Schizosaccharomyces pombe: one gene and its partners. The gene in region 1 interacts genetically with each later gene. Each region holds a gene or a part of one and is shown in the gene's direction. Other genes may lie near its edges. The genes, in order: cdc20, eso1, cdc22 and cds1.

The links.
Region 2: of cdc20 (region 1) and eso1, a mutation in one rescues a mutant of the other (synthetic rescue), as found in Schizosaccharomyces pombe (2 studies listed by BioGRID, with this or other methods).
Region 3: mutations in cdc20 (region 1) and cdc22 are lethal when combined (synthetic lethality), as found in Schizosaccharomyces pombe (one study listed by BioGRID).
Region 4: mutations in cdc20 (region 1) and cds1 impair growth when combined (synthetic growth defect), as found in Schizosaccharomyces pombe (2 studies listed by BioGRID, with this or other methods).

The regions. Positions count from the first base shown.
Region 1 is NC_003423.3:3,251,024-3,260,547, forward strand, and holds the start of cdc20 (DNA polymerase epsilon catalytic subunit Pol2), read left to right. Parts: upstream 1-2,698; 5' UTR 2,699-2,865; coding exon 2,866-9,465; 3' UTR 9,466-9,524. Other genes in the region: mug16 (UNC-50 family protein, implicated in vesicle-mediated transport), read right to left, coding at 46-123, 174-224; respiratory chain complex IV assembly protein Cox20, read right to left, coding at 1,580-1,776, 1,930-2,044, 2,111-2,161. UniProt on the Schizosaccharomyces pombe protein: DNA polymerase II participates in chromosomal DNA replication.
Region 2 is NC_003423.3:4,275,757-4,283,066, reverse strand, and holds eso1 (mitotic cohesin N-acetyltransferase/DNA polymerase eta Eso1 fusion protein), read left to right. Parts: upstream 1-3,413; 5' UTR 3,414-3,475; coding exon 3,476-6,094; 3' UTR 6,095-6,178; downstream 6,179-7,310. Other genes in the region: Hrd1 ubiquitin ligase complex subunit Ufd1, read right to left, coding at 1-255, 304-425, 482-514, 695-863, 911-913; ale1 (MBOAT family O-acyltransferase), read left to right, coding at 1,542-3,071; SPOM_SPBC16A3.12C (triglyceride lipase-cholesterol esterase), read right to left, coding at 6,179-6,316, 6,368-6,717, 6,765-7,152, 7,305-7,310. UniProt on the Schizosaccharomyces pombe protein: Probable acetyltransferase required for the establishment of sister chromatid cohesion and couple the processes of cohesion and DNA replication to ensure that only sister chromatids become paired together.
Region 3 is NC_003424.3:4,224,137-4,231,676, forward strand, and holds cdc22 (ribonucleoside reductase large subunit Cdc22), read left to right. Parts: upstream 1-2,833; 5' UTR 2,834-2,845; coding exon 2,846-2,864; exon of another isoform or gene 2,865-3,180; coding exon 3,181-5,597; 3' UTR 5,598-5,853; downstream 5,854-7,540. Other genes in the region: Rho family GTPase Rho1, read left to right, coding at 44-114, 446-983; hsp3105 (ThiJ domain protein, glyoxylase III), read left to right, coding at 6,714-7,469. UniProt on the Schizosaccharomyces pombe protein: Provides the precursors necessary for DNA synthesis. Catalyzes the biosynthesis of deoxyribonucleotides from the corresponding ribonucleotides.
Region 4 is NC_003421.2:737,453-743,609, reverse strand, and holds cds1 (replication checkpoint kinase cds1), read left to right. Parts: upstream 1-2,271; 5' UTR 2,272-2,379; coding exon 2,380-2,637; exon of another isoform or gene 2,638-2,728; coding exon 2,729-2,777; exon of another isoform or gene 2,778-2,844; coding exon 2,845-2,876; exon of another isoform or gene 2,877-2,921; coding exon 2,922-3,006; exon of another isoform or gene 3,007-3,074; coding exon 3,075-3,334; intron 3,335-3,399; coding exon 3,400-3,609; intron 3,610-3,647; coding exon 3,648-3,856; exon of another isoform or gene 3,857-3,928; coding exon 3,929-4,208; 3' UTR 4,209-4,249; downstream 4,250-6,157. Other genes in the region: ribosome biogenesis protein Urb1, read right to left, coding at 1-533, 576-606; cab5 (dephospho-CoA kinase), read right to left, coding at 1,107-1,780, 1,829-1,865; THO complex subunit Tho3, read left to right, coding at 4,355-4,381, 4,444-4,717, 4,761-4,852, 4,905-4,973, 5,016-5,260, 5,306-5,384, 5,451-5,594; protein Thc1, read left to right, coding at 5,740-6,090. UniProt on the Schizosaccharomyces pombe protein: Has a role in the DNA replication-monitoring S/G2 checkpoint system. It is responsible for blocking mitosis in the S phase.

The DNA.
Region 1 (9,524 bases):
AATATTTTTGATATCTTAATTATAATTTCTTTCACATTTACATACCCGTAGGGTAATGGACCGATAAACTCGACGTGGAGCGCGAAACAAGTTTGCCATATCCCACCATGCCCGTTCAAAATCCTTTAAAAGAAGGTTAAAAAATTTCTTTATAATAAATATTTAAACAATACCATTTGAGAAAGCTTCAACAAGCGGAATCCATTACGAAATGACCTACTCATGATAAACTGTATTGAATGTATGGTGAACGAGAACTTTGTTTACTCCTTCTAATAGCGTGCGATAATAACGTAAGAAACAGCGTTAAAACATCATTCACGTTAAAGTTTTATAACACTATTGTGGAACTAAAGCAGTTTGTTAAAATGAAATAGTCATTAGATGCGTAATATTTTTAAAGTACTTTAACGAACCTAAATGCTGCGTTAAGCATTGAATTGCGATTTATCATAGAACTGTTAAGAAAAGTAAGTAACAAATTTGCCTATAATATTATTCTCGGCTACCTTTAAAACTTTGATAATATAATAAACATCAAAGAGCTCATAATTAAACTGAAGGACTATATTCAATTGAATCTATTCATTAATATAATTAATAAAATTGAATCTAATTTTGAACATAAAAATAGTGTAATTCAACAGATTAGTCGAATAAATAAAGTGAATAATGATACAGCTAAAGTTACGTAGTGCAGCATCACCATATTGCTGGAAACTCACAGTTTTCAATTGAATTAAAATAATCGTTTATGACTACATAACTAACATAAATGTTGCTATAATGAATGCAATTCCTTCTAGTACAATATTTAATAAACGACTGAAGTGCCACTAACTTTCCTCCTAAAAACAGTATATCTCATCGATGATAATTATAAATAAAGAAATTACCCTGATTAAACTACTTTGTTAAAAAATAATAAACAAGAATGACGATGGGACTGCAAATACTTGATTTTAATGTTTTTTCTAGCCAATCGTACAAAAATTGTCGTAAAGAATACATATTTACATTCAAAAATATCACATAGCTTATTCATCCAGTTAGTAGAAATAAACCACCATAAAGGTCTTGTTACTTTTATTTTGGAAAGTTTTTAGCTGAAATCATGCGATGCCCTCGCAAGGTCGTAGACTGACTTTACGATAAAGGGGTAAACATACACGCACGAAAGATTGAGATGAGCTAGTACTTATAAAGTAAATAACGAACAAAAAGTCTACCATTGTTTAGTTAATATTGGGAAAATGTGGATGCTGTATATTTTTAAGACTTTTTTGCTGTTAATACAACGTTCAAGATACCAAGAGTATGTATTCCACCCATTGTAATGGCACCCTAAAAAGATTGAATTCTTCGAGGCAGTTAAAAATTCAACATTGGATTCTTTGGTGATAATTCACACTCTTCAATGAATACCATTTAAAAATGACAAACCATTCCGATGAACTCAAATTTAAAATATTAATTGAATAAGAGTTAATCGATCAAATGAAAAACTCAGCATACCATGCAATAGAGGGATGAAAAGAGCTTAAGAATAAGTAGAACCTAAAGAATCAAATGAATGCAATTACTCGTTAAAACCTTCATCAATTTCTTGAGCGGACCTTGAAGAGCGATGCTTCGGGGTCTTTTCTGCTGCTTCTGTAATTTTAATGTTGAAGTTATTAGTTTCAAGCTGCTTGCGGTAATTACACCCTTCCCAAGAGACGATGCTCATTCCAAAATAAGTTCCGAACCCCCAATTAGCAGCTCTAGAAATAGGTGCTTGAATATTGTTAGCATGTGTCGGCAAGAATTTAAACCGCTTATTAAACAACGGATTGAAATCACCGTTTTAAAAAGTTGGTCCGAAAATTAAAAGACATGCGATTTTTTTTGACGGACATCAATTAACCAGCATAATGTTTTTTTTCGTACCTCGAAGAAACAAATGGATGCAACCAACACCTAGACCACAGACGACACTGGTGATTAATGATTCCTTAAAACAAGGATGGTGTACCATGTGAGCAAAATCACTCATCTTCAATGACTACAAGTAGTATTAGCATTCCTTGCATTTACAACAAACTAGTCCTTTTTAAGCTATAAATTCTACCTTGAAAGCGTCAATAATCCCAGGTTTTTCGGGTTCATTTGGTGTACTCATAGTTACTGATTCGTTTAAGCTTTTTCAGTTAATGGTGGAATAGAGGTAAATATAAGGTATCAAACTGATTGAATTAAGCACTACTAAGTTTTTTTACTATGGCGGGGTCTTTAATCCTGTACTTCAGCAATCAGACAATATTTTTTTCTTTGAATTAATATAAACTTTTCCATTTATGATAGTATATTTCGCCAAAATAACCAAGCTTTGACAATTTATATCACTGAAAGCAGAAACCGCGTCACCATGCTTCTCTAAAAGAAAACTGCTTTTTTTTTTTTTTTTTTTTTCTTTAAATTCAATCCTTAAAGGAAGCAATATCGATTTGAAATAATTACTTACGGTCGAAACACACGATCATTAGGCTAATGTATACTAAATTTTGTATTTTTTTGTACTTTGTCTTTATTTTATGGCAAAAATAAATAAATTGTAATGCTTTGAACTGGAACATGATACCCAAAATAATTTGCAAGTTGTCGACGCGACGCGACTTGTTGTTTACCAATTTGTTGCCTCTTAACTCGGTATTAATCCAAACCACTATATCACATTTAAAAGGATACCTAATGTTTGTACAATAGAAGAAGTTTCTTCTTAATACTATTCCATTTATTAATTTAGAATTCTCTGGTAACAATCGGAAATTACTAAACTGTCGGTCTCTTTTTACTTTCTTTTTTTAATATTTATTTTGTATTGCTATGCCCTTAAAAACAGCTCGAGGAGCATCCAAATATCAGTTTAGGAAATTTAATGGTAACTACAATGGAAAAAGTAAATCGAACGGTAGGACGTTTGCAAAATCAACCGAGGAAGTTGGCTTCAATGATCCTATGAAAATTGTCTACAAAAAGAATGAGATTGATCGAATGATGGGTTTTGATAGCTATGAAGGTGGACAACCACGAGAAGCTTGGCTTCTCAACGTTCATCCAACAGTAATCGAAAGCACCAAAGGCAATTCTACCCTCAGTGCCGTTGACTTTTACTTCATTCAAGACGATGGTGACACTTTCCGGTGTACCATTCCATACTCTCCTTACTTCTACATTGCTGCTCGAGAAGGTAAAGAAGCTTTGGTTGACGATTATTTAAAAAAAAAATTTGTGGGCTTAATTAAATCTACTACGCGTATCTTTAAAGAAGATTTACAGCTAAAAAACCACATAGTGGGTTACCAAAAGTTGTATATAAAGTTGGTTTTTGATAACCTGAATGACCTTCAGGCTGTCAGGAAGTCTTTGATGTCTGCTGTGAAAGCTAATTCTTCCCAACAAGATGCCGTTGATGCATACACTAACTTGTCTTCGGAGAATTTAAACGGGATTATAGAAAACGCATTTGAAGATCCTTTAAATCATGTTTTAGATATCCGTGAGTACGATGTTCCGTATCATTCTCGTACACTTATTGATTTGAATATTCGAGTCGGACAATGGTATACTGTTTCATATCATGAAGGCCATGTTCAAATATCCCTTTTAGCTTCCCGAATCGAGCGTGCAGAACCTACTATAATGGCTTTTGATATTGAAACCACTAAGCTGCCATTGAAGTTTCCTGATAGCTCGTTCGATAAAATAATGATGATATCTTATATGATTGATGGCCAAGGATTTTTAATTACCAATAGAGAAATTATTTCCCAGAATATTGAAGATTTTCATTATACTCCGAGGGAGGAATTTGAGGGCCCATTTATTATTTTTAATGAGCCTGATGAAGTTGGCCTACTTCATCGATTCTTTAAACATATAAGGTCTGCAAAGCCTTCAGTAATAGTTACATACAATGGTGACTTCTTTGACTGGCCATTTGTAGACGCACGTGCTGCATTTCACGGATTGAATTTAACAGAAGAAACTGGTTTCTTCAGGGACGCAGAGGATGAATATAAGTCTTCTTATTGTAGTCATATGGATGCCTTCCGGTGGGTAAAGAGAGATAGTTATTTACCTCAAGGAAGTCAAGGTCTCAAAGCTGTCACTGTCAGTAAATTAGGTTATAATCCTATCGAACTAGATCCAGAATTGATGACTCCTTATGCAAGTGAAAAACCTCAAGTTCTTGCTCAATATTCAGTTTCAGATGCTGTTGCTACTTATTTTCTTTACATGAAATATGTGCATCCTTTCATTTTTTCTCTTTGTAACATTATCCCATTAAATCCTGATGAAGTTTTACGTAAAGGCACGGGTACGTTGTGTGAAACGCTTTTAACTGTTGAGGCTTGTACAAAAAATATTATTCTTCCGAATAAACATGTTGATGCTAGTCAAAAATTTTTCGACGGTCATTTACTTGCAAGTGAGACTTATGTTGGAGGACATGTTGAAAGTCTTGAAAGTGGTGTTTTTAGAAGCGACTTGCCGACTAATTTCAACATGGATCCAAAAGTTTATGAAGAACTAATTTTACAGTTGGACAAAGCCTTAGATTTTTCTTTAACAGTTGAAAACAACGTCAATGTTGATGAAATCGAAAATTATGAAGAGGTTAGAGACAGCATATTAAAGAAACTAAGTGACCTTCGTGATCGACCAAAAAGGTCGGAGAAGCCAAGGATTTACCATCTTGATGTCGCCTCAATGTACCCAAATATTATGATTACCAACCGGTTACAGCCAGATTCAGTAAAAGATGAATCGTTTTGTGCAACATGCGATCTTAATGTGCCCAATAAGACATGTGATCGTCGGATGGTATGGGCATGGAGAGGGGAGTATTACCCTGCTAAAAAAGGTGAATATCATATGATATATTCTGCTTTACAATCTGAGCGTTTTCCAGGCCCTACCCCTTTCTCACCTTTTAGGTCATTTCAAGAGCTTTCTCCCTCAGAACAAGCTGCTATGGTGCAAAAGCGCATTGCGGATTACAGCCGTAAAGTGTATCACCGTCTATATGATAATACCGTTATCGAAAGGGAAACTATAATTTGTCAAAAGGAAAACTCATTTTATATTGATACGGTAAAAAGCTTTAGGGATCGCCGTTATGACTTTAAAGGATTGCAAAAAAAATGGGTCAAACAACTTGCTGCTATAAAGGAAAAAGGAGGACTTGCTGAAATAGAGGAGGCCAAAAAGATGGTCGTACTCTACGATTCTTTACAGTTAGCTCACAAAGTTATTTTAAACTCTTTCTATGGATATGTCATGCGAAAAGGCTCCCGTTGGTATTCGATTGAAATGGCTGGTATCACATGTTTGACAGGCGCTACGATTATTCAGATGGCTCGTCAAATAGTTGAACGTGCAGGTAGGCCATTGGAACTTGACACAGATGGTATTTGGTGTATTCTTCCAGAATCGTTTCCTGAAAACTTTGAATTTAAAAAGAAATCCGGAGGAAAGGTTTTTATCTCTTATCCATGCGTTATGTTAAATCACCTGGTTCATGAAAAGTTCACCAATCATCAATATTCTGCCTTAAAGGACCCAGAGAAATTGGTGTATGAAACAACTAGTGAAAACAGCATTTTTTTTGAGGTTGATGGTCCTTATAGAGCTATGATTTTGCCTGCTTCAACGGAAGAAGGTAAAAACTTAAAAAAGCGTTATGCCGTTTTCAATTTCGATGGTAGTTTAGCTGAACTTAAAGGCTTTGAGGTGAAAAGAAGAGGAGAATTGAAGCTCATTAAGGATTTTCAATCTCAGATATTTAAAGTTTTTTTGAAAGGTGATTCTTTAGAGGAATGCTATCAAGAAGTTGCCTATGTTGCTGACACTTGGTTAGAGATTCTATTCACCAAAGGCTCTAACCTAACAGATGATGAATTAATTGAACTGATTTCTGAGAATCGTAGTATGTCTAAAGCTTTGTCTGAATACGGAAGCCAAAAATCGACATCCATTACTACAGCCAGGCGACTGGCTGACTTTTTGGGTGATCAAATGACCAAAGACAAAGGTCTAGCATGTCGTTTTATTATTTCCGCAAGTCCAAAAGGAAGGCCAGTTGCAGAAAGGGCAGTACCGGTAGCTATTTTCTTTGCTGAAGAATCTGTTAAGCGACATTTTCTTAGGCTCTGGTTGAAAGATAATGGTCTATATGATGTTGATATTAGAGACATTATTGATTGGGATTATTATTTGAAACGTCTAGGATCAGTAGTACAAAAACTAATTAGCATCCCTGCTGCTCTCCAAAGGATTTCAAACCCCGTTACCCGTTTTCCATTGCCGGACTGGCTTCAAAAACGAGTTGCTGTCTTGAATTCTAAATACCAACAGAAAAAGATCGATTCCATTTTCTCCTTAGCCCCTACAAATCCATCCACAATAAACAACACAAAAGTTACTGATATTGAGGATTTAGGAAGTGTGACTCACAAAGATAAGCGTATTGTCGCTCGAGTTACCAAGCGTAAACTTTTACAACAATCTGGGAACTCGGAAGCACCTGTATCTTTTGAAGTAAAACCTGTATCCTTTATGGATGGATATTCGAATTGGCTTAAGTATGCTAAGAAAAAGTGGAAATATCAGAAGCAGGTCAAGCTTCGAAGAAGACATTTAATTGGGTTTCAATCAAGGCAATTCACCAATGTTTTACAATCTTCTGCTGAAGTTATGTTTGAAAATTTATGGCATATTTTACAAATACGAGAAACCGATGTTCCTGGTATTTTACATGCTTGGGTAATTATTCGTAATCGGTTGACCTCGATACGGTTCATTGTGAATAGAAAGTTTTTTGTATGTTTCAAAGATGAGACTTTACCGAATGTTGAAATTGAGGGATGCTTAATTGAAAAAAGCAATGCGATATTACCGCATGGAAGCACTTCGGATAAGCTTTTTTTACTTGAAATTCCAGAAAAGAGCTATTTAACGGAAAAGGTATCAATTTCTATGATTTTTGCCCATCCGTCTGTTAGTGGAATATATGAGACTCGTATAGAACCAATTGAAAGATTGATATTAGAAATGGGATCCAGAAAAAGGTTTAATAATTCAGTACCTGGAGCGTTAGGTAAAGGCTTCGAATTTGGATTTGAATCTAAAATGTTCACTGACCCAAGTGATAACGATGTTTCCTATCTTGATGGAGTAGAGATGAACTACCTTTATGCATTCCATTTTTCCATTAGTAATAGGTTTGTTTTTTCACTTTTTATGCCACATTTAAAAAAAGTTGAGGCCATAATTTATGACAAACTGCCAGGTAGTGATATGTCTTTCCCATCAATCAGCAAAATTTACGAAGAGCTACGGTCGAAATTTGATAATTTAATTAAGGAAAGTAGTATCGAATACCCTGATACTCTTTCGTGTAATGTCATTTTCTCGGGAAACGAAAGGAAAGCGTACAAACTGATAGATGAAAAGTTGCTTCAATATTTTTCAACTAAAACTAAAAATAGTCTGCTTATTATTGAAAGTTCACTCCCTCACATATTGAAGGCAAATGTGAAGCAAATTGAAGAGCTTCCGTATATAATGATACCACGGCTTGAGAGCAACATACAGTCTCTTTCTTGGAAACAACACATTGCTACGAAAATGATCCAACATTTCTTAGCTATTGGTAGCTGGCTTTTCCATCGCATACAACTTTCTCGCTTCTCAGATATCCCATTATGCAACTTTGAAAGCGATGACATTCAGTACAGTATCGATGTTGTTTACTCTAGAAAGCTGAAAGAACATAATATTATCCTTTGGTGGAATAAAGGCCCAACTCCAGACTTAGGTGGTATTGAGAAGGATAGTATTCTGCAGATTGCCAGTCCCAAAGATCCACTAGAAGTTAACAATCCTGGTGCTTATTCAAATGCTTGTGTTGACATTTCTCTTTCCAACCTTGCACTTTGTAGCATTCTCAATTCTGCTCTCATAAATGACATAGAAGGTATTGGCGACATGGCAGCTTTGAATGATAATTACATGACCGCCATAAATGATGATCTGGAGGAAAAGTTGGGAATACATGATAATATTGGACTGACACATTCATTGCCGGTGTTGAAGGCGTTGGTTAAAACTTGGTGGAACGAAGCTGCATCCGGTAATAATCTCGCTGATCTTATAATTCAACATTTAGCCCGATGGATTTCTTCATCAAAATCTTATCTGTACAGTCCTTTACTCTCCTCGCACGTGGAAGTTATAATGAGAAAAACTTTTTTACAACTTCTCTCTGAGATAAAACGCCTTGGAGCACATATCATACACGCTTCTGCTAATAAAATATTAATCAAAACGAGCAAATTAATCGTCCAGAACGCTGTCACTTATTCAAATTATTTACTCAAATCCATTAAGACGTTACCACTATTTCACTTTTTGGATCTAAATGTCACGGAATACTGGGATTATCTTTTATGGATGGATTCCGTTAATTATGGAGGAAAAATGGTGGCAGCAAATTTTTCAGCTACAAATGAAGAACCACAGACAGTTGTTTCATGGCACATTAAAAGTCATTTACCTCCAATCATTCAGCCCGAATTTCAGAGTTGGATTGTTGAGTTTATTGAAGAGGTTTATAAGCAAAAATTAGAAAAGTCTAATACAAAAGTTGGGTTTGTTCGCGTGAAAAACAACAATGCTGATGAGGACTCTGAAATAGTTGGATCGGGAATTTTAAAAAGTAAGTTGATACATCCTCTTAAACGGAAAGTTGCTCAAGTAAGGAGATGTTTTCAAGAGCTTCAGCTTGATGAAAATACCAGAGAAGATCTTAAATTTCCAAAGTTGCCAGGTTCTTTTCTTAACTATACTGATGGCGCTCTAGAATTGGTTAAAAGCATCTGTGCTGTTTTTGAACTCTCCCATGATCTCAATTTGGAGGTCCGTTTTTTAAAAAAGAGTTTATTGTCACTTTTACAAATTCAAGAGTTTTCCACTCAGGCGGTATTTCGATATCCTAGTCGTCGACTTTCACTTGATCAAATACCCTGTAAGCAGTGTGGCGTCCATCAGGATTTTGACCTTTGTTTACATGAGCATCTATGGCCTACTCGCGATGACATGGGGACCTTGGTGTTTTCTGACGGATGGTCTTGTTCCAGCTGTAACTTAGTTTACGATCGATGGGTGTTTGAGGAAACTTTGGTGGATAACTTATACCATCAATTGACATTATATCAACTGCAAGATTTGATTTGTTCTAAATGTAAGACAGTTAAGCAATGGTCATTAAAGGAACGCTGTTCATGCAGCGGAGAATGGGTATTACAGCTTTCACCTACAAAGTTTCGTGAAATGTTAAACGTTTATCAATCTGTTGCTGATTTTTACGAGTTTTCTATATTGCAAAATTCTGTTCAGTCCATACTTTCTGTGCTGAACTAACATTTCTCGCCTGACCATGAGCATGAGTTTGGCTTTTTTGTCTTTATATGTATTTTATA
Region 2 (7,310 bases), 1.0 Mb from region 1:
AACATGGCGGGAGTCATCAGGTTGAACATCTATAACTTTTATTTGATATACCTGGTCGTTATACAAAATCTCAAATATATCAGATTTTGTAAGCGTACTGAAATTCCTAAGCGCATTTTCCAATACCGCTCTGTGGTCCGTGATATCAAGAAAATTCACGCTTTGAGGCTGTAATTTGACATAGCTGCCCTGTGCTATATCAGTATTTATAACTCGAACCAAATCTCCAGGCTCAAGGCTAAGTGTAGTCATCATCTGTGCCCTAGTTAGTACATTTCTGACAGTCTTTAAATTTTTTCATACCCAATAAGGCAGGTAGACACGTCCCTCTTCCGCAATAAATTCTAACACACCCCCATGAGTTTTTTTCTCTGCAGCTTCGTTTTCAAAGTCAAAAAGCATGGGATAACTGACATTCAGGCGTGCTAATAGTTAATTAACAGATTTAAAAGGCTTAATAAATTCTCTTCGCATTACGTACATAGTTTTTCTAAAGCTGAAGGTGGTAATATTACTAGACGTAGTTGTTAATACTAATAATCCCCAATAACAATATAAAAAATATTGAGCAGAGAATGTTAACCATAAGCAAATGCGCAAGCAAGCGCTCAAAGATAAAATCACATGAACTTCATGAGTATATAAAATCAAATCTCCAACAATGTGAAAACTTAAAAGTATTTTCAAACCTTACCTTTCCCACCATAATTGACATTTGGCCGTTCCTCACCAGGAATCATGGCAACAGGATAACAGCGGTAACGAGTATCAAATCGCTGATTTACATTATTATGAAAAGCTGACCGAAGTTGAGACATCATGGAGAAACCATCATCGTCGCTTGAGAAAAAGCTGCCGCCAAACTAATACGTGAGTAAGTCAACGTACGCATTCTCTAAAAAAACCATACCATATTTGCTTTTTTTGCGAAAAAAGGAAAGAGTAACTATGGTTCTCCCAATTTTTTATAATGCAACGTAAATGTTGTAGTGCAAGCAAAATACACTTGATGACTGAAAGAATTTGGCTATGTACAGCATTCGTTGACGCAAATGCCACTATTTGGGACCAAGGCAAGAAGTTAGTTTACGAAATTTAAGGAGGTTCCTCAAGGTCTTTAACTGTTTATAAAATAGTACCTTGTAATATGTTATCTGAGCCTACCATATGTGAAGCATAGCTGTACTATCTTGATATTTCATGAAATATCAGTGCAATTCTCGTTAAGCTTTACAGTGTAGTTTTGGATAGATACGTTGTAAAATTGGGTCATATTCTTAAATGTTGTCAGTTGATCAGTTGATTATAGTAGCTCAACAAGGACCGTGGGTTTCTTGAATAATTTGTGACAAAAGTTGTGCTAGTTCTTTAGACCAGAAATTGTTGGTGTTCATGAGCTAAAACTTCACCAACACCAAACTCTGGGTACAATCTTCACTGTACATTCGTGATTAAAGAATAATCGATTGTTGAGTGTTTAATATCAGTTGTTCAATTCAAAGGCATTCCCAAAGCAGGAGACAGTATTGTCTACATTAACAATGGCTTATCTTATTGATATACCATTTGAATACTTCTCTTCTTTCCTTGGAGTCCACCCGGATCAGCTCAAGTTACTGTTTTGTTTTCTTTCAGCATACCCGTTTGCCGGCATACTAAAAAGACTTCCTTCGGCTCCATGGATTAGAAACTTATTTTCAATAAGCATAGGTTTATTTTATCTCATTGGTGTTCATCATCTTTACGATGGCGTTTTAGTTTTGCTATTTGACGCTTTGTTCACATATTTCGTGGCCGCGTTTTATCGATCGTCACGAATGCCATGGATCATATTTATAGTAATCCTTGGCCATACATTTAGCAGCCATGTTATTCGGTACATTTACCCTTCAGAAAATACTGATATTACTGCTTCACAAATGGTACTATGTATGAAGCTTACAGCGTTTGCCTGGTCTGTTTACGACGGTCGTCTTCCTTCAAGTGAATTATCTTCTTATCAAAAAGACCGCGCGTTGAGAAAGATTCCTAATATCTTGTATTTCCTTGGATACGTATTTTTCTTTCCCTCATTACTTGTTGGTCCAGCTTTTGATTATGTTGATTACGAAAGGTTTATAACCCTTTCTATGTTTAAGCCTTTGGCTGATCCTTATGAAAAACAGATAACACCACACAGTTTGGAACCAGCCTTAGGTCGTTGCTGGCGAGGTCTGTTGTGGCTGATTTTATTTATTACCGGAAGCTCAATCTATCCTTTAAAGTTTCTACTTACACCTAAGTTTGCTTCCTCCCCTATTTTGCTAAAATATGGATACGTTTGCATAACTGCTTTTGTTGCAAGAATGAAATATTATGGCGCATGGGAACTTTCTGACGGTGCATGTATATTGTCAGGCATTGGTTATAATGGCCTGGATTCTTCTAAGCATCCTCGTTGGGATCGAGTGAAGAATATTGACCCTATTAAGTTCGAATTCGCAGATAATATCAAATGTGCTCTTGAGGCTTGGAACATGAATACCAATAAATGGCTTCGAAATTACGTTTATTTGAGAGTTGCAAAGAAGGGAAAGCGTCCAGGGTTCAAAAGTACGCTAAGCACATTCACTGTTAGTGCAATGTGGCATGGAGTTTCTGCTGGATATTATTTGACTTTTGTTTCCGCAGCCTTTATCCAAACAGTTGCAAAATACACGCGTCGCCATGTTCGCCCATTTTTCCTTAAACCAGATATGGAAACTCCTGGGCCTTTTAAGCGAGTCTATGATGTTATTGGTATGGTAGCAACAAACCTCTCTCTCTCCTATCTAATTATCTCTTTCCTTCTTTTGAATCTAAAAGAATCAATACACGTTTGGAAAGAGCTATATTTTATTGTGCATATATATATATTGATAGCTCTGGCTGTGTTCAATTCCCCAATAAGGTCGAAATTAGATAATAAGATACGATCCAGAGTCAACAGCTATAAACTAAAAAGTTACGAACAATCTATGAAATCCACTAGTGATACGGACATGTTAAATATGTCGGTGCCCAAAAGAGAAGATTTTGAAAATGATGAATGAAGGATTAATTTGCTATGAGGTAGCATCATATGCAATAAATTGAAGCATTTGAATATTTTGCAGCTTTGTTAACAGCAATTTCATCTTAATTGTTCATCATATACAATACCTTTCATGGCGGCAGTATATTCATTGTGTTTATATATATGTTTACATATTAAAGTAGTCTCTTAAATAAAATTCCTGAATGTTTTCTCTCAATTCAGTTTTTAAGTTTAACATCTAATTTCCTTTGATGATTTATTTTGGTTACAACATTATGAGAGTTTGAATTTATTTTGCTTTAGTATCTGGTAGTAGGTAACGTTGCTATATCTAGTACCTTAGTCCACTAAATTCAACACGAACGCGCTATAGAACTTGAGCGATTCTTATTAAAGAACTTTTTTGAGGGTATGAACTGAATGGAATTAGGCAAAAGCAAATTCTCTTGGAAGGACTTGCAATATTGTGATAAAGCAGGTACACAAAATTCACCGTTAAGGGTTGTAGCTCATATTGATCAGGATGCTTTTTACGCTCAAGTCGAAAGTGTTCGCCTAGGATTAGACCATTCAGTTCCCCTTGCTGTTCAACAATGGCAAGGGCTTATTGCTGTAAACTACGCAGCCCGTGCAGCGAATATTTCACGCCATGAAACAGTTACTGAAGCAAAAAAGAAATGTCCAGAGCTTTGTACCGCTCATGTAAAAACTTGGAAAGCTGGGGAGTCAGAGGCTAAGTACCATGAAAACCCAAATCCTAACTACTATAAAACCTGTTTAGATCCTTATCGGCACGAAAGCGTTAAGATTCTTAACATCATAAAGAAACATGCGCCTGTGGTTAAGAAGGCTAGTATTGACGAATGTTTTATTGAACTTACGAGTGATGTTAAACGGATTGTGTTGGAGGAATATCCTTACTTGAAAATTCCCTCTGAGGACTCAAATGTTGCTTTGCCGCAGGCTCCAGTGCTACTATGGCCTGCTGAGTTTGGAATGGTCATTGAAGAAGAAGTTGTAGATAGAACGAAAGAAGATTATGAAAGGGATTGGGATGATGTTTTTTTATTTTACGCTGCAAAAATCGTGAAAGAAATTCGCGATGATATATACTTGCAACTCAAATACACGTGCTCAGCAGGAGTTTCTTTTAACCCAATGCTTTCAAAGCTTGTCAGCTCGCGTAATAAACCAAACAAGCAAACTATTTTAACGAAAAATGCAATTCAAGATTATTTAGTGTCATTAAAGATTACTGATATAAGAATGCTGGGCGGAAAATTTGGAGAAGAAATAATTAATTTATTAGGAACAGATTCTATTAAGGATGTTTGGAATATGAGTATGGACTTTTTGATAGATAAGCTTGGTCAAACTAACGGTCCACTCGTTTGGAATTTGTGCCATGGAATTGATAACACTGAGATTACTACACAAGTTCAGATTAAATCAATGTTGTCGGCTAAAAATTTTTCTCAGCAAAAAGTGAAGTCTGAAGAAGATGCAATTAACTGGTTTCAAGTATTCGCATCTGATCTTCGATCACGATTCCTTGAACTTGAAGGAATGAGAAGGCCCAAGACCATTTGTTTGACTGTTGTATCAAGATTTCTGAGAAAGTCAAGGTCAAGTCAAATACCTATGAATGTTGATATTAGCACTCAGTTTATTGTTGAAGCAACATCCAAACTGTTGCGTCAACTGCAACAGGAATTCGATGTATATCCGATTTCAAACTTATCTATTAGCTTTCAAAACATCATAGAGGTTGATCGTAATTCTAGGGGAATTGAGGGTTTTTTAAAAAAGTCCAATGATGAAATCTACATGTCTACTTCTGTTTCACCTTCTATTGAGGGACGCGCTAAATTATTGAACGAAAATATGAGGGAAAATAATTCTTTTGAATTATCTTCGGAAAAAGATATAAAGTCACCTAAAAGGTTGAAAAGAGGTAAAGGTAAAGGGATTTTTGATATGCTACAACAGACCGCTGTTTCTAAACCAACGGAGAATTCAGCTGATGAAACTTACACGTGTGAAGAATGCGAACAGAAAATTACTTTATCCGAAAGAAATGAACATGAAGATTATCATATAGCTCTCTCCATTTCGAGAAAAGAACGCTATAATAACTTAGTACCGCCATCCCATGATAAACCTAAGCAAGTAAAGCCTAAAACATATGGAAGGAAAACCGGTAGCAAGCATTATGCACCTTTATCCGATGAAACAAACAACAAAAGAGCATTTTTGGACGCATTTTTAGGAAACGGTGGAAATCTGACACCAAATTGGAAAAAGCAAACGCCAAAAGCAATTTCCAACAGCTCAGACAACATGACCCAGTTACACTTAGATTTGGCTAATTCCACCGTAACTTGTTCAGAATGTTCTATGGAGTACAATTCAACGAGCGAAGAAGATATTTTGCTTCATTCTAGGTTTCATTCTCGGGTTCTAGGAGGTGTTACTGTGTCCTTTCAATGCTCTCCTATTTATCGCGTTAACTATGGTTTGAGTTCCGATTGCATATACAGCATAAATTCAGAAAGCTCATTAATTGATCAAAGAAAAGCAGAGGAAGCTTTATCTTTCGTAAATAACGAACTTTCAAGTGAGCCTATTGAAACAATTGGGGTAGATAAATATACCACATTTCTATTCATATCAGATAAGAAATGTGTCGGATTACTTCTGGCAGAGCGTATATCTTCTGCATACATAGTCGATGAACTTGAACTCAACAACAACAATAGCACCTCTTCCGCAGTATATATAAAAAACGAAAATCTACGAAAGGGGTTTGTATTGGGTATTTCCAGGATTTGGGTATCAGCTTCAAGACGCAAACAAGGGATAGCAAGTTTACTATTAGACAATGCTTTAAAAAAATTCATTTACGGTTACGTTATATCGCCTGCAGAAGTTGCTTTTAGTCAGCCTAGTGAAAGTGGTAAACAGTTCATTATTTCGTGGCATCGTTCTCGAAACAATGGTTCTTCGAAGTCACTTCGATATGCTGTTTATGAAAGTTGAAAATAGTCTGACAAAATTAAAGTTGTTCTAAATATCTATCTAAGCGTTATATAGAAGTTTTTTTTTTAAATTATTAATTAATCATTAATGAAAACCGTTTTGTTTAACGAAATGTTTGGCTTTGCCTAATGAATGATGCTTAAGGGCATCTATTACAACTGGGAACACTTCCTCTTTAACATCCTGGCCCCATAGAAAGTCAAGATGTTCATAATGAGCAATCTAACTTATATTAGCATATTGAGCAACAAACCTATAAAATAAAAGGCTTACCGAAACTTCCTTTGCATGGGGAGGAAGAGCAGTTCTCATTACTTCCATATTGATCAAAGTATCTTTACCTCCCCATAGTATCAGCATTGGGCATTTGATATTATTCGTAGGAAACAGAGGAACTTGGTAATGGCGTGAACCATATCCAGCTAGAAGAGCCATATCGTCGTCATAAAGCTGGAAAGTACAGTTTTTTATAATCTGAAGCCAGTGAACAACACTCTTTACACTTGAAAAAGAGTAAAGATGTGCATAACCGCAAAGTTTTTGATTAAGAGAAATGTTGGATAGGTCCCAGTTGAATAAAATTTTAAGGGATACATCGACAATTTTTACAAAAATTGGGGGATCTGTAGAGTAAGCAGATGAAGTTGAAATTTAAAAAAAAGAAACATACAACATATATTTTGCCAAAAAGTGACTGAAGGTAAAAGACAACGGCGCCCAAAAAGATGATACATAATTTTTGGATTAACTTTGACAATATAGTCAACGAAGTAATTTGAAAAGCCTTTGGGAGCATAAGCAGGCGCTAACCCTATGAAAATATTTACTTTGTCATTCAAATCCGGATTAATGCTAAGTGCAGCCATTGCTTGAGCAGTTCCTTGAGAAAAGCCAATATAGTTTAGTTTTTCTCTTCCTGTTTCCCTCAAGATGTAATCAACAGTATCGGGAATATCAAACATGGCCATATCATCTAACGAGAAGTTCCAAAATTCTTCGTCCTTCGGTTTGTAAGTAATGTGTTTCCTGCTATACTTGTTTCCTCGATTGTTGCCCAACTAAATGTATTGTTAGTCAACGCCAAATATATCCTACGAAAATCTAATGTAAACATTTGCCCTTCTCATATTTGTTAAATCAATAGCTTTTCTTTACGCGTCTTCAACAATAGCTCGGGATAGAGTCTTGATCTGGCAAGCAAATAACTTACCCAAAC
Region 3 (7,540 bases), on another chromosome or scaffold:
AAATTTTTCTGTCTAGAGCAGGAGAAAGTAAACAAATCTAGGGATGGCGACAGAACTTCGCAGAAAGCTCGTTATTGTGGGAGATGGTGCATGTGGTAAAACATGCTTATTAATGTAAGTAAAAATGGTGCAAGCGTCGGAAAGGTAGTAGAAGGGTAAAGTAGTTGCTTGGGCCTGTTTTAAATTGGCAAGGGTTTACATCTCTTGCTTAGCATGGCTGGAGAAGAAAATTATTTCCGTAAGCATGTTCATTGCCTCAAGAAAATAATGAAAGAATCCCCATAGAAATGAGACTTAGATGGGGTTTAGATTACATTTAATAAATGTTCCGAGGATTTAATTTGCACTCCGTACCCTGTATTTCTACTTACTCTTTGCTTGCTTATCTGCAATGTTTCACGAGTCTGTGTCATTGTTATACAACTTCTAACATTTTTCTTTATAGTGTATTTTCTAAAGGAACCTTTCCCGAGGTCTATGTTCCCACTGTTTTTGAAAATTATGTAGCTGATGTTGAGGTTGATGGACGCCACGTTGAGTTGGCTCTTTGGGATACGGCTGGACAAGAAGATTACGACCGTCTACGTCCCTTGTCATATCCTGACTCACATGTTATCCTTATTTGCTTTGCTGTTGATTCTCCCGATTCTCTTGACAATGTTCAAGAAAAATGGATTTCCGAGGTTCTCCATTTCTGTTCCAGTCTTCCTATTTTGCTTGTCGCTTGCAAGGCTGATCTCCGTAACGACCCAAAAATTATTGAGGAGTTATCCAAGACTAATCAGCATCCCGTCACCACAGAAGAAGGTCAAGCAGTAGCTCAGAAGATTGGTGCTTACAAATACCTTGAGTGTTCTGCCAAGACGAATGAAGGTGTTCGTGAGGTTTTTGAATCAGCCACTCGTGCTGCTATGCTCAAACACAAGCCCAAAGTGAAGCCCTCTAGTGGAACTAAGAAGAAGAAGCGTTGTATCTTGTTGTAAACAGCTTGTTTCCAAATTTTTTAACTTAGAGAATTTATCTTTTCTGTTTTTATACATCTCTTCAGTCGAAGCACATTCAACAAGTTTCCGTATTTTTTCGACTTATGTTGATTTTTATTTCACCTTCACCTTGGTGGGAGTTTTGCATTGTGTGGCCTATCATGTTACATAGTCATTATATCCTCTCATTCTTTCCTTTTTACTTACCTCAAGTCGTGCCATTTAGTCAGCTTGGCAATGATTTAAGCGCATTTCATATAGCTGTTCTACCATTTCCCCTCACTGTTCTGCAACGTATAGGCACCTGCAAGGAGTATGCGTCTTGTTTTCAGTCTTTGCTTACTTTGCTATACTCTTCGCTATTAGTTTGAAGAAAATTTCCCTTATTGCCTTGTTATTGCATGGTTTTATTTTTCCTATAATACCTTGTTTCTTTTGTTAAGGATTGCCATCATTATTATCCTTTCTACCTAGTCAAAGGACTTGGTAAATTTTTATAAATCGGTAATTTAAAGAATATACACCTCGATTGAAACTCGATCAAAACCCGAATATTTTATAAGCTTTCTCACAGCACGTAATTGCTTATTATCGTGGAACTTTAGCTGGGTCTCCAATTTTGCACTAGAATTATTGTAGAAAATTGAAGCGACATTATCTCTGTTGATAACCTTGCTGGTATACAGGCGCTTGGTATTTTTATACACGTTGATAGTCGAAGTAGCAGATAGCCGTAGTTGATGGTTTAAACATTTTGTATTTTGCGGAAATTTGCACACTGTTTATATCTCATTCTCTTTACGTCAAGCATACCAATGTTTGCAATTTCATGTTTTGAAGGTGACCGTTGTTATTCTATCTATGCATTTGTATTACCATTTGATTTTCACTCTGTCTACAGGCAAGATTATCAGATGAAGATATAAGCATTGTTGACTTTACCTAAAAAAAAGGATAATTGCGAGGGAGCAAATAGTGAATTAAAGGGAAAAGAACAAAGTTTTTGTAGCTACTAAAAGCTGTTTGTCTATCTCTATGTGTACCTTTTATAGTGCTTATAAGTAAAATGCAGAGTCGAAATCTTCATGCTTTAATGTAAAGCATTAGTAAGGTTACATATTACAACAGAAATGGGAATCAAAATCTTAAATCTAAAAGTTGAGAGGTCTTAACAAAAAAGCTAACTCAACTTAGCTTTACAATTTATAAATCAAGGAAACAATACTTTATCAATTGTATGTTATGATCTTCTCCAACAGGTAATTGACAACATCAAAAAGTAATATAAAGAACAAGGGGAAATTGATATCTAGATATATTAGAGAAATTAGTAGTTCAATCTCATAGAGCAGGTTGGTAGTCGGGTTGGACCGCGTGTTTAATTTATGTAAACAGTCGCGTCGCGTTGCAATTGAGACGCGTAAATAAATATTTAATTTATTACATTCAGTCGTAAACAGAGTATTTATAAACACTTTTTTTATGTTTAATAAAAGATAAATGTAACAGTTGAATGTATTGTATCAGGTCAGACCACTTCAACATGTTTAATCGCGTTTTTTTAAAAAAATATTTTTTTAATTTTTAAAAGTCGGACTTATTTTAGCGGAACTTTGATGTTCAGAAGTGAAAAAGATAAATCTATTTAGCAAGTCTTAATTAACGTCTTTTAGATATAGTAGAGCTACAAAAATGATCCGGTTTCCACTCTTAGCTTTATTTATTTACATTGATCAACATGACTTAAAGTTCGGATGACGCGACGCGGCATCACGTTATATTAGCGTGACGCGTCTGAACGCGTTTTTCATTTACTATAAATATTCCCGGTATTTACCACCTTACAAACTAGAACAAACACGATGTTTGTATACAAAAGAGGTATGAAACAGGAAATAAAATACAGTTAGAAGATTAGTAGAAATTTTGTTACAACGTTGCCGTTTCGAAAAATGTCGTGATTTTACTGGGGAGTAAATGTTTAAAGAAACTGAGATTTTTCTATTTGTTTAAGCGTGTCATTCAGTATTCACTGTTTGTTGTGTGCAGAGATGTTTAAGCAAATGTTCTTTTAGCCGTTTGCTCTACTTCCAAGTGTTCGGTTGATTGCTGACAGATTCGTTGCTGGTGGCGTTGTATTCAAAATTGACTGACTGTTGACATTGAATCGAAAAGCAATAATGTACTAACTGTATAGACGGACGTCAAGAGAAAGTGGCCTTTGACAAAATCACTGCTCGTGTTTCGAGGCTTTGTTATGGCCTTGATTCCGATCATGTTGATCCCGTCGAAATCACTCAAAAAGTCATTTCTGGTGTGTATCCCGGTGTTACCACTATTGAATTGGATAATTTAGCTGCTGAAACTGCCGCGACTATGACTACAAAGCATCCTGATTATGCTATTTTGGCTGCTAGAATTGCTGTTTCCAACTTGCATAAGCAAACCGAGAAGGTGTTTTCAACTGTCGTTCAACAGCTTCATGACTATGTAAATCCCAAAACAGACAAGCCTGCCCCCATGATCTCTGACAAAATCTACGATATCGTAATGAAACACAAGGACGAATTAGATAGTGCTATCATATACGATCGTGATTTCACTTACAATTTCTTTGGCTTCAAGACTTTAGAGCGTTCTTATTTATTGCGTATCGACGGCAAAGTTGCTGAGCGCCCTCAGCATATGATTATGCGTGTCGCCGTTGGTATCCACGGTGAGGACATTGAAGCTGCTATTGAAACATACAATTTGATGTCTCAACGCTACTTTACCCATGCTTCACCAACTCTTTTCAATGCCGGTACTCCTCGTCCCCAACTCTCTTCTTGTTTCCTCGTTACGATGAAAGACGACTCTATTGAAGGAATCTACGACACACTCAAGATGTGTGCTATGATCTCCAAGACCGCTGGCGGTATTGGTATTAATATTCACAACATTAGAGCAACCGGTTCGTATATTGCTGGAACTAATGGTACTTCCAACGGAATTGTCCCCATGATTCGTGTTTACAACAACACAGCTCGTTATGTTGACCAAGGAGGTAATAAGCGTCCTGGTGCCTTTGCAGCCTATTTGGAGCCTTGGCATGCCGATGTTATGGACTTTTTAGAACTTCGAAAGACTCATGGCAACGAGGATTTCCGCGCACGCGAAATGTTCTATGCCTTGTGGATTCCTGACTTGTTTATGCAACGTGTTGAACGTAACGAGCAATGGACCTTCTTCTGCCCCAATGAGGCTCCAGGTTTGGCAGATGTTTGGGGTGACGAGTTTGTTGCCCTCTACGAAAAGTATGAGAAGGAGAACCGTGGTCGTCGTTCATTACCTGCTCAAAAAGTTTGGTACGCCATTCTTCAATCACAAGTTGAAACTGGTAATCCTTTCATGTTGTATAAGGATTCATGCAACCGTAAGTCCAATCAGAAGAATGTTGGTACTATTCGCTGCTCAAACCTGTGTACTGAGATTGTTGAATACTCTTCTCCTGACGAAGTTGCTGTTTGTAACCTTGCTTCAGTTGCTTTGCCCACATTTATTAAAGACGGAAAGTACAATTTCCAAAAGCTTCACGATGTCGTGAAGGTCGTTACTCGTAACCTCAACAAGATTATCGACGTTAACTATTATCCTGTTCCTGAAGCTCGCCGTAGCAATATGCGCCATCGTCCCGTTGGTTTGGGTGTTCAAGGTCTTGCCGATGCTTTCTTCGCTCTTCGTTTACCATTCGAATCTGCAGGTGCCAAGAAGCTAAACATCCAAATCTTCGAAACAATTTACCACGCAGCCCTTGAGGCCTCTTGCGAGATTGCCCAGGTAGAGGGTACATATGAGAGTTATGAAGGATCTCCTGCATCCCAGGGTATTTTACAGTATGACATGTGGAACGTTAATCCCACCGATCTTTGGGATTGGGCCGAGTTGAAGGAAAAGATTGCTAAACACGGAATTCGTAATTCTTTGTTAGTAGCACCAATGCCTACTGCTTCAACATCTCAAATCCTTGGTTTCAATGAGTGTTTTGAGCCATATACTTCTAACATGTACCAACGCCGTGTTCTTTCTGGTGAATTCCAAATTGTCAATCCATGGCTGTTGAAGGATCTCGTTGAGCGTGATTTGTGGAATGAGGACATGAAGAACAAACTTGTTATGCTTGATGGATCCATCCAAGCGATTCCTGAAATTCCTCAAGACCTTAAGGATCTTTACAAAACCGTATGGGAGATTAGTCAAAAGACTGTTATTGACTATGCTGCCGACCGTGGCCCATTCATTGATCAATCCCAAAGTTTGAACATTCACTTGAAGGATCCTTCCTACGGAAAAATTACTAGTATGCACTTTTATGGCTGGAAGAAGGGTCTTAAGACTGGAATGTACTATCTTCGTACTATGGCTGCTTCTGCTGCTATCAAATTTACGGTCGACCCTGTGGCCTTGCGCGCTCGTAATGAAGAATCTAATGAAGAGAATAAGAAGCCAGTTATAAAGAATGGAAAGGCTGAAATTTCTGCAGAGCCCACTAAAGAAGAGATTGACATTTATAATGAAAAAGTGCTCGCATGCTCCATCAAGAACCCTGAGGCTTGCGAAATGTGCTCAGCCTAATTTACTGTTGCAAAAATGGATTTGTTAAATCCCATCCATGTTTAATATCCTACATTTTATTGTTTCTTTTAATGTTTTTATTCAATATTCTTTTCATTTGTCGACATACATAATTGTGTCTTAAATTCAACCTTGGTTTTCCATTCTAGTGAGCAGGCTCAGAATGGTTCTAATACATAAATTAGATTACGAATTTTCTGGAATTTTGATGTTTTCCGGGGTTTTAAAAACTCCCAATAATATAAGTTACTTTTTGTCTCTTGATTAATGCAATGCATTATCGACGTGGTATATTTGTAGACATGAGACTGTAAATTTTGTACGAGGGAAGATGTACATTCGATAAAGATACTTCATAAAAAAATTTGTAAGTGCTTCTGATGTTCCTCATTTTGTGTAAACGGGTAAGGTGGTATTTGTTTATTCACTGGTTAACGGGCTAAATTGAGGTATGGTAAATGGTTTAATATTTGTGGCATCGTAAATCTTTATAGCATGTGTTTTATTACCTTTTTCAAGTAGATCGTTTGAAAAGTGCAACTGCGTGTTTGTTAAAGAAGTCAAACCAAATGCACGCAATGGAGTGAGATAAGTCGCTCATTTGATTGTTGATAAACAGGATATCATGTAGCATGCATGACTTAAACAAATTATTTTAACCGTACGAAATTAATTAACCATTTCAGTTGAAAGTATTTTCAATAACTGAAGTACGATGTTTATAGCAATATCATTATTAGGAGAAAACTTGATATGGAAATACTTTATGAAATAGTTGCTTCAATATTACATTATGCAGGTTTTTATATTTAGTAGAATAATTTTAAAAAGTAAGTAGTAATTTTAATTAAAAAGCATGTCATCGTGATTCGTGCTGGAGGCGTACACATAAATTGCTTCGAGAGGATCGTTGAAAGGCTCAAAATAACTCGCATTTGAAGATAATAAGTTTTGAGACTCGTGTAATCATCTTGAGGGACATTTCCTGACAGTTTGATCACATAACTTTTCATCAGATAAATATCCCCTTTTCTTAATTTTTAAAATATAACGAGGATATTTTAACTGATAACCCAAATTTGCGACATTGAATTGTATTGAAAATTGAATTAAAAAATGGATGAACGACATGAAGCAGCAGGAGAGACGTCGGAAAAACCAAAAGTACTTTTCTTGCTGAATAGCTATTATGGCCCTTTTTATGATGATGGAGATAACACTGGCGTGAATGTAGTAGACTTATATGAAGCGTTTAAAGTATTTGAAGAAAATGGTTTTGACATAGTAATTGCGTCTGATACTGGGGATTATGGATTTGACGATAAATCCTTTCGAGACCCGGCGATAGTGGATGAAACACAATCAATATTTTCTAATCCTGATTGCTCTTTGATGAAGAAATTAAAGAATATCGCAAGACTGGATCGATTGAATCCTTCGGACTATGTGATTGTTTATATACCTGGAGGATATGGCTGTTCTTTTGATTTCCCCCATGCCAAAGTTGTACAGGACTTTTTGTATCGGTTTTATGAAACAAAAGGAATTATATGCGCCGTTGCACAAGCTAACATTGCCTTGGCTTACACGACGAATTCTGATGGGCAAGCTTTGTGTACGAACCGCCGTGTGACCGGTTGCACTTGGAAGGATGAAGTCCAAAATGGTGTCTTGAATGTGATGAACCGTCTTAATTTCTATAGTTTTGGTCACATTGCCGAAAACATTGGCGCCATTTTTGAATCTCCTCCTGTATACGTTGAGGACCCTTTCATTGTGGAGGATGGGCAGCTGTTTACTGGATCGAATACAAATAGTGCCAAAGGTGTAGCAATGGAAGCGGTGAGGGCTGTGTTAAATTATGATGGATGATCAAAATTTCTTTTTTGGAAAACCGATCGTGTTTTGGGATTCTCACATTTTTTTTATTTTTTCTAATGTTT
Region 4 (6,157 bases), on another chromosome or scaffold:
TGCCCTAGAAACATCATGATCTAGTAACACATAAGTGAGCCAACATTGAAGTAGCTCCTTAAGAACCGAAGGCTCATCATTGTATATACCTTTAAACAAAGGAGTAGTTAGTTTCCTTGAATTTAATATTTCCAGTCGAATTTCTGGTGTACCAAGCCTAAGGAATGTAATGAAAAGAAGTAGTAAAGAGGACCGCTTTTTTGATATAGTGATTTTGAGACGCTTATTTCCTTTCCTAGAATTTTGAATTTGATTAGGTAGCTGGAGCATCTTTATAAAAATTTTACTGTTCCAGTCAATAGCTTGGAATACACGAACACATGCCAATCCATTATTCCAAGATGCCATTTTTTGAAGTAGAGAAAGCGTATGCAAAGGAGAATTGGATGTCAAATTCCGATATATCTGCTTCAAATGATGATCTAAAATTGCATCAATATAACGAAGGGCAGATTTATCGAACTCAACGGTCTTTAAAACTTTTTCCACATGAGCAGGATGCTCTAATAAAACCCTGCTCAATTCATCTATCTCTACATGGAGTTAGCATAATTGTAATGACTAAATTGACTCACCCTTATCCAAATCAATAGATCCAGATTCCATTTTGCCAGAAAATTGGCTACTGAACACTTACTGACAAGGTGTTCAAGTGATGGTGGATGCGAACATGTAAATTGTAAATACGTGAACAAATATATCAATCAAAAAATTAGCTAACCCAACGAAACTAACAAAAAAAATTTAATTATTCTTTGACATAAATATAAGTCACGCATTGTAGCAAAGATTGATTAATACAAGTTCAATACCCAAGTATACAGACAATGAAAGAAGGAACGCAATCGATTTCTTATTTAAAACCCAGAAATCTAAGCGAGAACCTCTACATTAATCATTATTGTAGTGTTCAGCTATTTGTATGCGCATGAAAAGATTTAATTTCTCATTTCAAATCATGATAAAACATATACTCGTGAATTTATATAGAAAGCTCGAGGCAAGATATTGAGATAAGTTATGAAAATGATCTAATTATAAGCAAAAACATTAAGACTATTGGCTTAAATAACAAACGAGGAAATTAAAGAATATGGAAAAAAGGATTATATATGTTTTCTGAATTCAGATACCTTTTTCTTCTGCGAGACAAAGGCAATAACTTGTAAAGTTATTTGCAATGGCGGTAGAATTAAACATAGTAAGGTAAAAAAATAGGAAGGTGTGATTAAAGGTAGGACATTATGTATGTTTTCATATAAGGTCTCAAGATCCGAATTATTTTCTATTACAATGTCCGCAAGCTGACACTTAAGTTCAAGAGGCATCTGCGCTTGTACTCGGTTTTCAGCATCCTCTGCAGTAAGCTCAGGATTACGTGCCAGCAAACGTTGCTTTTGAATGCTTTTATCGCAAGACACGCAGATCGTTTTCCAGCAAATAAATTGCATTTTAGCTTCAAAAAGCAAAGGAACGTCCAAAATAACTATGCTGTAACCCCGTACGTAACATCGAAGCAGTTCTTTGAGCATTTCCAAACGTACTGCTGGATGTATTATTGAATTCAAAAGTGACCTCTTTCCTGCGTCTTGAAATACTGCCTGGCCAAGCTTTGCTCGATTCAAAGTGCCATCTTCATGTAATACTTCATTACCGAACTCTTTCTGAATTTTTATTAAGCAAGGTGTATTCGGTTCTACCACCTTTCTAGCTAACACATCAGCATCGATAATTTTTATATGATATTTCTCTTGAAACTCGCGAGAAACTGTAGATTTCCCTTAACTAGGTTAACCACTATTAAACCAATTGTTATTTGATAACTTACCCGTGGCAATTGAGCCGGTTAAACCAAGAATCAGCATTATATTTCTTATTCCTTGCTTTGGTATAGAAGATTTTTGAATAATGGTAACAATTAAGGAGATCAGAAAACTATTTAATGCCGTAGAACAAAGTCTTCAATCGCGGAAGTCGAAGTTTGAAATACAAAGGAATGTTGACAGATGGCAACCTTCACGTATACCAAAAAAATATAAATAGGGATTACTACTACTTAACAATTAACATTTAATCCTCACTACGTATAACGTACAGTAAAGTAGGTGGATGAAACATTGTTTATATTACTCGTGCTTCGCGAAAAATCTGGTATTGCAACAGTTCGTTATTATTGTCTTATGATACATTTTATATCGTAAAATTTATAACGATGTTTAAAGCGAAGTCAGTAAATCATAAGCCCTCGTCTGACATGATAACTGCTTCTTTGGTCTTTTTACTTCTGTTAAAAGCTTGATCACTCATTTGCACGTTTATTTGTGTTTACTGATATACATGGTTAAAGAATTCATCCAGTTTTTCTGTTTTTAAGATACTATGGAAGAACCAGAAGAAGCTACGCAGGCTACTCAAGAGGCACCACTACATGTTAGTCAGAACATAGCCAAACAGGTGGTTAACAACGAAAATGTATTTATGAAATTGGTTATGACTCGCATGCTTGATGGTAAGACAGAAGTGATTCCTCTTACTACAGATGTGCACAATGGGTTTTGGAGATTTGGACGTCATAAATCTTGTGAAGTGGTTTTAAACGGACCTAGAGTTAGCAACTTTCATTTTGAAATCTATCAGGTATATAAAATAATAGTGGCCAGCTGAACTCGTTTAGTTTTAATTGAACTTCAATCTCTTTAAGACATAATTATCTAACGAAATGACCCAGGGGCATAGAAATGATTCCGATGAATCTGAGAATGTCGTTTTTTTACACGGTAAGTCTAAAGGATTAAAAAATCTTTTAAAGTCTTCTGCCTCTTCCACCTTTTCTAACAATTTCAGACCACTCTTCTAATGGAACATTTCTGAATTTTGTAAGCGAGAGCTTAATTCGTTTACAATTTACTGACGTCATTTAGGAACGGCTTGCCAAGAATAGTAGAACTATCTTGTCAAACGGAGATGAAATTCGAATTGGCCTAGGTGTGCCGAAAGATGAAATTTGTACGTCCTTTACACTGAAGGAGATTGTTGACGTAGAATTCACTTCAAGTTTGCTTACAGTCTTATAGCTTTTTTGTGCCAGGTACCAGTTAAACATTCACGAGATTCCCAGAAAAACATGATTAAATCCGAGAACAGTCATTACGAAATTATTCGTACACTTGGAAGTGGTACATTTGCAGTTGTCAAGCTAGCGGTAGAAGTGAATAGTGGCAAGTGGTATGCTATTAAAATTATCAACAAACGAAAAATCCTTTTGACAAGTTCGGAAAAGCGAGCTACTGAAATGTTTCAACGAGAAATTGATATATTAAAATCTTTGCACCATGTGAGTATCATTTTATGTTCACCTTTTTTTATACGAAAAACTCCTAGCTAACACTTATCTTTTAGCCAGGAGTTGTACAATGCCATGAAATTTTTGAAAATGATGACGAGTTATTTATTGTTATGGAATATGTTGAGGGTGGGGATCTTATGGATTTTTTAATTGCTAATGGCTCCATCGACGAACAAGACTGTAAACCTCTTCTCAAACAACTTTTAGAAACGCTTTTACATTTGCACAAGCAGGGTGTGACACATAGAGACATAAAACCCGAGGTATATCTTGTTTATTGATAAGAAAGTCTAACTTGTAGAACATTCTTATAACAAATGATTTCCATCTTAAAATATCTGATTTTGGCTTGGCTAAAGTTATTCATGGGACGGGAACCTTTTTAGAAACATTTTGCGGGACAATGGGTTATCTAGCACCGGAAGTTTTGAAGTCAAAAAACGTCAACTTGGACGGAGGTTATGATGATAAAGTTGATATATGGAGTTTGGGATGTGTTTTATATGTGATGTAAGTTTGTCGGCTTTAATCAATTAGCAATGAACCTTCATGCCTTAATTTTTTCCAATTACTAATTCACAGGCTTACTGCGTCTATTCCTTTTGCATCTTCGTCACAAGCAAAATGTATTGAGTTGATATCAAAAGGTGCATATCCGATAGAGCCTTTATTAGAAAACGAAATTTCAGAAGAGGGAATCGATTTAATCAACAGGATGCTTGAAATTAATCCAGAGAAAAGAATATCTGAAAGTGAAGCTCTCCAGCATCCTTGGTTTTACACTGTGAGCACACACGAACATCGTACTCCACCATCATCGTCTGAACATGAGGCCACCGAACAGCTCAATTCTTCGAGTTAGATTATTAATATTTAGTATTCTAAATGATAATTAATTTTTATACTTAGACCGTCAAATTTATAATATTGTAAATAGACAGTAAGTTTACACTAACCACTCTGTCCACGTACTACTATCCCTTTGGACGTCTCGACGCGATCTTTGCCATGTGTGCTTCAGTTACAGAATCGCTTGTATGTTAATGATTTATAAAAACTAGAGCATAAAATACTAAAACTTTCTTTTTTCTTTTTAGCCAAAGTTTCCCGAATTGAAAACTCGAGATTTACAAGGGCAACAGGGACCTATACGTTCCCTAGGCTGGAATCTTTCCGGCTCGAGACTTGCGAGTTCTTCATCTTCAGGATCAGTACTTGTTTGGAATTCAGATCGTTTGGATTTTAAATTTACTACTGAATTAGGGAACAGAGGATATGGTCTTGTCGAACAACTAGTATGGGATCCTACGCATTCTGATCGGTTAATGGCTGTGTATGCTGGGAAAATGATCCGTTTCTGGGACTTTAGAAGTATGCAATGAAGTCTTTGACTGTTTGTTAACTATTTATTCAGGCGCCAAACCTATCGCTGAAATAGAAAGCAACTATGAGAATATTTATGCAACCTGGAGTCCAAGTGGAAATTACTGCTGTGCTAGTAGTCGGGTACGAGAATATTTTAAGTTTTTATAACGCACGATTGCTAATTGAATGCTAGGATGATATGTTGTCTTTTATTGATGCTCGGGAAAGAAGAATAATGGAGACATTCCAACAACCTTGTGAGGTTTGTTTTTAAACCAATAATAACTTTGCTTACGATTAATAGACAAATGAATGCTGTTGGTCATTCAGTGAAGATTTGTTTTTCATGACTACAGGACTTGGCACGGTGCAAATTATGGAATGGCCTTCTCTAAAAAGAGTTTACGATATAAAGGCGCATAACTCAAATTGTTTCTGTATTGAATTCAGTCCGGATAACAGGCACCTTGCCATTGGTGGTGCAGATGCAATTACTAGTTTATGGGATCCACAAGAACTGATTTGTGAACGGTCGATTACTAGAATGGAGTATGTAGTTTCTTTTAAATTTTTTGGTCGCTAACTTCTAAAAAGTTATCCCATCCGTACATTAAGCTTTAGTTATGACAGTCGCTATTTAGCTAGTGGATCAGAGGACCGCTATGTGGATATCGTAAGTATTTCAGGATGTTTGAAACCGTTTCTTATTTTTATTCTTTTTAATAAACTAACTTGGAAGGCTGATACGAAAACTGGTGATCAAATTTGGAAAATTCCAACTAATGGACCTCTGAACAAGGTAGCTTGGCATCCAACAAAACATATTTTAGCATATGCTGTATCGGAGCCTAATTCTAGTGGTCTTAAGATATTTGGGCTATAAATGATTGAAAATTGGCAATCTTGTTCACGCTGATCAACAATAAAAAAACGGCTACTTAGTATTTACCCTATACTCTTAGCATGGATACCTTCAATATTCATTGAAGTTGTAGTTTTAGCTTATTTGGTACCAAAAGTTTTGAAGAATGGAAGAGAAAAATACTGTTTCTTTATCTAAGCATATTGAACGTCCAGTAGAAGTTGTTGAAAGTCATTCTACGTACATTTTAAGTGCACAAGGACTTTATCTTACAGAACGCGTTTTAAGAAGTTATTTTAAACAACCTGATCTAATTATTACTTGGAAGGATAGTATGAGAGCTTACCTGACATTTTCTTCGCCGCAGGAAGCTCAAAAGGCTTACTTAGATTCACTTCGTTGGGGCAGTCAACTGAATGCTATCATTAAACCATTCTACGGTTCGCACGATGAGGTACTTCGTTTATGTAAAAGGAAAAGAATTATTCCACTACAAAATTTCTTGACTTCAGGTTAAACAGATAAATTAGAACACAGCTTAAACTTACCGGAAAAATTAATCGCAATCCAACAACTTTTCGGAC